Linked DNA regions of Cricetulus griseus. The protein of the gene in region 2 purifies or fractionates together with the protein of the main gene of each other region. This does not show direct contact. Links are inferred from orthologs where the notes say so. Each region holds a gene or a part of one and is shown on either strand. Other genes may lie near its edges.

The links.
Region 1: the proteins of Snap25 (region 2) and Stx12 purify together in Homo sapiens (co-immunoprecipitation; 3 studies listed by BioGRID and IntAct, with this or other methods). This does not show direct contact. The link is inferred for Cricetulus griseus from reciprocal best matches to the Homo sapiens genes SNAP25 and STX12.

What each region holds. Positions count from the first base shown.
Region 1 is NC_048595.1:20,383,130-20,387,386, reverse strand, and holds the start of Stx12 (syntaxin-12), read right to left. Parts: upstream 2,801-4,257; 5' UTR 2,690-2,800; coding exon 2,572-2,689; exon of another isoform or gene 2,058-2,571; intron 626-2,057; exon of another isoform or gene 385-625; intron 1-384. UniProt on the Homo sapiens protein: SNARE promoting fusion of transport vesicles with target membranes. Together with SNARE STX6, promotes movement of vesicles from endosomes to the cell membrane, and may therefore function in the endocytic recycling pathway.
Region 2 is NC_048599.1:41,904,731-41,908,749, forward strand, and holds the start of Snap25 (synaptosomal-associated protein 25), read right to left. Parts: upstream 2,801-4,019; coding exon 2,729-2,800; intron 748-2,728; coding exon 706-747; intron 1-705.

The sequences.
Region 1 (4,257 bases), on a different chromosome or scaffold from region 2:
ATCACCAGGGTTGATTCGGCTGATCTGGCTGCTGTATCTGTCACCCATTGATCACCAGGGTTGATTCGGCTGATCTGGCTGCTGTATCTGTCACCCATTGATCACCAGGGTTGATTCGGCTGATCTGGCTGCTGTATCTGTCACCCATTGATCACCAGGGTTGATTCGGCTGATCTGGCTGCTGTATCTGTCACCCATTGATCACCAGGGTTGATTCGGCTGATCTGGCTGCTGCATCTGTCACCCATTGATCACCAGGGTTGATTCGGCTGATCTGGCTGCTGTATCTGTCACCCATTGATCACCAGGGTTGATTCGGCTGATCTGGCTGCTGTATCTGTCACCCATTGATCACCAGGGTTGATTCGGCTGATCTGTCTGCTGTATCTGTCACCCATTGATCACCAGGGTTGATTCGGCTGATCTGGCTGCTGTATCTGTCACCCATTGATCACCAGGGTTGATTCGGCTGATCTGGCTGCTGTATCTGTCACCCATTGATCACCAGGGTTGATTCGGCTGATCTGGCTGGCTAGGAATCACTGGCTCCCTCACTGCTCCATGTGTGCATCTTCCAAAGCTGCCTTCGTGCTTGGTCATAGAGGAGGACAGTCTTCGGTCAAAGGTATACGAGTAGCTGCACTCCTCAGCTAGAACCTCCAAACAAGCTCTCAAGAATCTATGCCAGGTCCTACACTTACTATACAGCTTAATACTTAAATACAGACTATTCCACAGAAAGATATTCAAATTAGGTTTAATCTTAGTGAGAAAACTTCAGCCTTGAAACAAAATTCTCTTTCTTTTTTTGTTTTGTTTGTTTTTCAAGACAAGATTTCTTTCTGTGTCCCTGGCTGTCATGGAAGTAACTCTGTAGACCAGGCTGGCCTCAAACTCACAGAGATCTGCCTGCTTCTGCCTCCTGAGTGCTGGGATTAGAGGGTATGCCACCACCACCCAGCACAAAATTTTAAAAATTTTTATTTATTATTTTTGAGTGTAAATGTGGAACATACATACAAACTAATGCAAACACACACAGTACACTTGCAGGTAAGAGTGTGGAGGGCAGAGTACAACTTTGTGCAGTTAATTTGTCCCTTCCACCTTTACATGGGCTCTGGGGAGCAAAGCAGAGCAAGCACTTTACCCCTGAGCCATCTTGCCTGCCCCTTGAACCAGGATTTTCTGATCTAACCTGTATTCCTGCTCCTTGACAAATGAGAACTGGAACACAAAGTACCATACTTTCTAAGCATCGATCACATTATTGTTGTTTTTAATATCTGGGTTTCACAAGCTGAATGTTCTTCCTACCACCAAACACCTACTCCTAACCCTACCCTCACCAGAAACCTACCTCTCAAATTCTACAATTTACATTTAGATTTAAAAGCAAAGTGACAAGCTGAGTTTGGTAGTACACGACTTTAATCCTAGCACTCGGGAGGCAGAGGCAGGTGGATCTCTGAGTTCAAGGCCAGCCTGGTCTACAAATAAGTGAATTCCATGACAGACAGAGCTAGAGAAATTCTGTCTCAAAAGTAAAATAAAAGCAATGCAAAGTGACTGCTTTAAAGTGTAGAACATAATTGTAATTCAGAACTGACCCTAACAGTATAGTTAAGCTCTCTAAAACACAATAACACAGATAGTTGTCACCTTTTTTTTTTTTTTTTTAAAGTAAAGCTGCCTCTGTTGTTCTGTTCACAAGGCTCTAGGCTGATTCTGAATCTCTAGAAACAGCCTGTATTTGACTCTCAGCTACAATCTTAGACTCTAATGGTGAGGAGTGAGTTTTAAGGCAAGCAGTTACAGACTACATACTCACTCGGTATGTAGTTGTAGCCAAGCGTCTCTGTGTATCAGATTTATACAAGAATAGCTCAACTGAGACAAAAAACGAAATATCATGCTTGAAATTTAAAAAAATAAATACTTCTTTGCTACAAAAGACAACGTAAATTAAAATGTTCCCGGTGCATTCTCTAACAAAACAGGAGTCCTCCCACCCCTTAAATACCAGTCACTGACTCTGATTTCCAAATTAATTACAGGAAGCACAGTGTATTAAGTCACCCAAACACACGCATTCGCCACTTCCCTTAATTGAAAGTTGCTGATGTCCCAGGACCCAACCGCTGAGCAGAATGTGAACCTAAAAGCCCTTAACCAGCAAGCAACCCCTGATCCAAACTGTGGAAAGCGAGGTGGGTGGAGAGACGGCGATGACAGGGAAAATTCGGCTGACCACTGCGTCAAGTCAAGACTGTTGCTCACAGTCCTGGAGATGACACACACTCCCTCCCACCCTCGGGCTGTCAAGTAGGCTCTGTTGACCCAACACCGTGAAATCACAATGCCTGAGACAGGGGTGTGGACCTGAAGGGCCCGAGCCTGACCGACCCGCCGAAGGCAGCTCGCCGCGCCCGGAGTGGAGGCTCTCGACGGCCTCGGCTGTGGCCCTGGCTGCGACCCTGACCGGGCTCCGCGTCGTGGCGACCTCAGCCAGGCCTGTCCCTCGGGTCGCCCCCCGCGGCCCCCCGCTCCCAGCTGGGTCCCCTCGCTCACTGGCTTGACTGATCCGCTGGATGTTGCCACTGCACGTCTGGATGATGCTGTTGAAGTCCCGGAGCTGGGGCCCCGAGGGCCCGGGATTCCGATACATGTCTAAGGGACCGTAGGACATCGACAACGAGCAGAGACCGGGTCGCGCTTCGCGGCGCTCCTACCGGAAGCTGCCAGTAGCCAGGCTCCGCAGCTGAGAGGAAAACCGGGAAGAGAAAGGGCGGGGGGCGGGGGGGAAAGGAGCGGCGACTGCGTGCGCACTGACCCCGCCCACTGACAATGCGCACGCGCACGCGCACGCTCTGCCCCTCCCCACCCCACCCCCCGCTCCCGTGGTGCGCGTGCGCCGCTGTCACTTGAGAGTTTTCAAACTGCTGGCAGAGCGTGTCCCCGCAGAGCCCCGCGCTCGGCCACGTGCCGCCCGCCTAGATGCCGGTCCGCATCCTGCTGCTGGGCGCAGCATTGGCGCTTAGCCACCCTGCAAATCTTTGCTTTTCCAACCCGTGTCAAAACCGAGGTGAATGCATGAGCGTGGGATCGGACCGGTACAAATGCGATTGTACCCGGACAGGATTCTATGGTGAAAACTGTCCAACACCTAAACTTCTGACAAGGATAAAATTACTGCGGAAGTATACGGCCAACATGGTGTACTCCATGCTTGCTTACTTCAAGGGAATCTGGAACACTGTCAATAACATTCCCTTCCTGCGGAATTCAGTCATGAGATAGGTGTTGCCCGCCGGGTCGCATTTGATTGACAGCCCACCAACTTACAAGGTGCACACCACACCTACAAAAACTGGGAAGCCTTCTCTAACCTCCACTACCACAGAGCCCCTCCTGCTGTAGCAGATGACTGCCCAACTCCCATGGTGTGAAAGGGGGGAAAGGGCTTCCTGATTCAAAAGGTTATGGGAAAAGTTCATCCCTGGTCCCTCCAGATTTGGGGGATGCTAGACAGGGCAAATGACATCAAATAGCTGGGAGCCCATTGAATACGTTTTCCCAGTCATCTTGTGTCTCCCCAGAGTCCGCTGACAGCATGCAAGAATTTTCGATTTGCATAAAAGTGTATGAGATTTCCTCAACCCTACTTCCTATTCTGTTCTGTTCTGAGAACCCAGACTCAAATATGGGAAATTAAGCAATCTTGAGCTTCAGATCTGTAGCCAATTAGCAACTCTTACGGATTGCAAACTACTTTTATTCCTCCCTCCAATCCTAATTTAAGCAATAAACTAGTAACATTTGTTGGGCACATACTGTGTGTGAATCCTCACTTTAGGTCACTGGTTCATAAACACTTCACAGCAAGGAAGCATCTCATTTTTATCTATAAAGTAGATTTTAAAAATTAATTTTTTTTTAGCCGGGCATTGGTGGCGCACGCCTTTAATCCCAGCACTTGGGAGGCAGAGGCAGGCAGATCTCTGTGAGTTCGAGACCAGCCTGGTCTACAAGAGCTAGTTCCAGGACAGACTCCAAAGCCACAGAGAAACCCTGTCTCGAAAAACGAAAAAAAAATTAATTTATTTTTGTTTTATGTGCATCGGTATTTTGCCTGCATATATGTATGGGTGAGGGTGTTAGGTTCCCTGGAACTGGAGTTACAGACAGTGGGTGCTGGGAATTGAACCTGGATCCTTTGTAAAGGCAGTCAGTTCTCCCAACGGCTAAGCCATCTCT
Region 2 (4,019 bases):
TGACTGCTGTTCTACCAAATTGGAATGAGTAGGTTTTATTGCAAATGCTTTTTTGATTCCATTATTGCTATCTGCCCTATTTTATCCATTTAAAAATGGTTTGGGATTCATTAAACCATGAATTACAAATGCTTTAGAAATGGATGTGCAATTCAGAGTCAGTCACATAAAAGAACTTTTATATTTACTTAATTGGACTAGATTTTTCTCTTTGTTTAAGATTTTTGCTATTTTTTCTTAGATTTTCGTGCTGGACACTAAATACAACAATTTCAAAAGATGATATGCTTGCATAAATACATATTTTTCAAAGTTATAAATATAGTTGGAGTCAGAAAAGAATTTTAGATTAGCTGTAATATATTGCAACAAAATCATTACAAATGAAGACTTTTATGTAGGTAATTCCTTCATAGATTAAGCACCACTTTGCTTACTGGGACCCACTTTTGTGACTGTTGGGAACAGGAGCTTAGAAATAGTAGGTTTCTCTGTACTATGCACTGCAGAGGTAGCCTAGGCTGGAGGGTGGTGAGGTCACCTTGATAACTAGCTAACAACTCATGCCAAAATCTCCAGTATTTTCTGATACGCTATGTTCATATTGGAAGCCAGGGAGCCATGGTTTAGGGAAAAACAATAGGAGCTAGGAATGAACATGTCAACATAGGGACCTAGTTTATGTTAATAGAATCCACTCCTTACCTCTTCAACCAGCTGCAGCATGCGACGGGTGCTTTCCAGGGACTAAGATGGAAAAACATAAACACTGTTAAAGGCACTAACAGAGCACTAGGCAAGTCAGAAATGCTTTCTTCACATGAGAAACACAAAGGTCCCTATCACACATGACTTACACTTTGCAACAGAAACACCAAATGTCTTCCCAGTTTCAATCTCTTTCTACATGATCAGATTTCCCAGAGCAATCATATGAAAGCTTATCTTTATAAAACCAAAACCATATGAGGCTGATCTTGATATCAAAGGCAAAGCAATCTGGACAAATCATTTTGTATGCTCTGGATGCCTGGAAAACTATCTCATATACTTCAAGGACTACTTTGGCCTCCCTGAACTAGGGATATTGAATTTTAAACACAAACATAAGTTTTCATGAGGAGAGATGAGTTTAACGAGTTTCCTTTAAAACTCCTTGAAACACAACTGGAAGTTGTTATCAATACAAATTAAGCTGTCGCCTTAGGGTGAAAAAAAATCAAGCAAGTTTGCAATAACTATCCCATAGGAGACAGCTGTAATTACCTTCATTTTTAGATAAGAAAAAAAGCATGAAGAAAGCTTTGAGCTTGGCAGCTGGTCCCTCAGGCACAGCATCACCACTTTGTTCTCAGTTCCTTTAACATAGCTCCACTGCAACAACCAGTGTGATTTCTCAAAACCATGCTTTCAAATAGCAAATTTATGTTGGACAAGTTTCTGCAGGAGCCTGAAGGATGTGAATTTTTGCTGCAATGGACTTAAAGTGGACTCCCTTTTGTAATAAAATAGCTATTATCAGTGATGTGTTGGCAAAATGCTCTGACTCTGGGAAAAAATATAAATACATTTATGTATCTTTGCATCTATTGTAAGGCTGTGAAACACAGAGAGCACAGAGTTGACACATGATGCAACACAGCATCCTTGGTTAGCAGTTCTGTGTAGCAGGTTGATTCTCACCCAAAACTCCTGTCAGTTTTTTTTTTTTTTGTGTGTGTGTGTGTGTGTGTGTTGTCTATCTATGACTCCTCATATGATGAACTAGTATAATTCTAACATGGTCACTGCAACTGGATAACTTCACTCATGTTCATGAATAAGAAGAACCTGAAGCAGTGACGACTTAATGTTAGAATTAGTCTCATTAGTAAAGAAGGTGATGTTTTTGTTGAAAAATAAGTTTCCAAATAATGGAGGACTTCCTCAAAATTTCTTATATTTCAAAAACATTTTTACTGTTTGAGAATGCCTTACAATGAATTTTGATCATATTCACCTCTTCCACTCTTACCCCTAGCTCCTCCCTGATCCAACCCTCCCTCCCCACCCAACTCTGTATATTATTTTCTTAATGTAATAGCTACAGACATACATAATTAAAAAGTTTTATCTAGATTATTAATATTTTCCCTTCTGTCTTAACTATAGGTAATCAACAAACAATAAAGCAAGCACAACTGATATTGTTTGCCAATGACTGGTTCTCAATAATTGCTTTTGATTTGGTTTCTGAGTGCAGTGTGGTAAACTGACTCTGCAGTTTCCATTTCTTACATACAGTGAGTGTAAATGACTCAAGGGCATAGATAGCAGAAAAAATGTGCTAAACTAGCTACAAGTAATGACTTTTGAGCTCATAATACCATTGCTTTAATTATATATATTTATTTTCAAATTATGTACTTCAATTTTAGTAATAGCCACACTTAGTAACCTTCATTACTGAGGTAACCATGGCATACTGTTAGGTATCTAAAGATAAAGTTTTTCCTAGAGGACCCTGCCCTCCCAAGTGTCTAGGAGTCCTGCCTCAGGGCTGAGATGTTAATTTGTATTTGCGCCTTATAATCAATCCTGTCTAGCCTGCAGGAATCTTAGAGAAAAAGGAAGTTCTTTTTTCACCTTAAAAAAAAAATTAGACATTGAAGAATTCTTTTCTCAAAATCTGAATTGAAACCACCCACCTTCCAGTGTTGGGCTTGCCCCCTGCCTCTCTATGCCTTACCTCATCAGCCAGCTGGTCAGCCCTCCTCTGCATCTCTTCCAGCTCATTGCGCATATCTGCGTCTTCGGCCATGGTAATGGTAGGGGGTTGCTGGGCACCTGGACCAGCAAGTCAGCAATGGATTTGGCTACAGAACCTGAGTAGAAGCATATTGGAGAATATGAGAGCTAATATGAATGACTGCATACTGGAAAGTCTAAGTGTCACACTGTCACCAGGGTTTAGATAACTTCTGAACTGGAAGCCAAGCGCAGATAAGAATCAATAGAATTGTGTCATTTCTCCAAAAAGTACTGGGAATGAGTGTTTTATCAACCCCATCACTAAAACAGTCACATATTGGTATGTTTTATGATAGCTTGGCATTGTTGTCCAGGTTGGCCTTGAGCTCACCATCTTTCTGCTTCAGCTTCTGAGTGTTTCAATTACAGGTTGTAACATGAAAAATAAATGGACCCAGAGACAGATATTGGGGTTCAACCTGAAGATCAGGGAAGCAAAGCAGTCAAGCTACCAAAGTGCTCTTACCTCTAACAAGGCTGAGGCATTCCTATTCTCAATGTGGCTGGAGAATGAATACCTGACACTGAGACCTAGTTCCTGTCTTATATACCTTCCTAATGCTGGGATTAAAGGTGTGTGATCCCAGGTGCTGGGATCATCTTTATGTGAGCTGTTTCTCTCTTTAGGACTGGATACTTCTTGTGTAGATCTGGGTCGTCTTGGACTCACAGAGATCTGTTTACCTCTTAATCTTAGTCCTATGACTAAAGGTATGTACCTCCACTTCCTAGCTTCTGGCTTCTGGGATTAAAGAAGTGTGCCTGGCTTCTATGGCTTGTGGCTGACTTTGCTTTCTGACTCCTCAGGCAAGCTTTAATAAATCATAAATAACATATCACCACAGCAGGTTCACAGGAACATAAATGGCTTCATCTAGAGTATTTTTTTAAAGACGCAAACCATACAAAGCTTGGGAATGATGTGGTGAACAATGCAGGCCATTGTTCTTATATTTTTTAATGTTATATTTATTTAGTTATATTTAACAGTTTTATTGAGAAACAGTTGACATATTTAAAAACATACACATTTAAATACAGCGCACATATCTAAATCATACAGTTGTAAAACACTCAGTAACCCACTGCTCTGAAAAAGAAAATGAGCCAGTCCATTAATCCCCCACCAAATTTCTGTATACTCTTTGTTATTCTACCTGCTATTCTCTACATCCTCCTATGTCGAGGAAGCTGTTGACCTCCCTTTTGTCACTATAGTTGGTATGTCT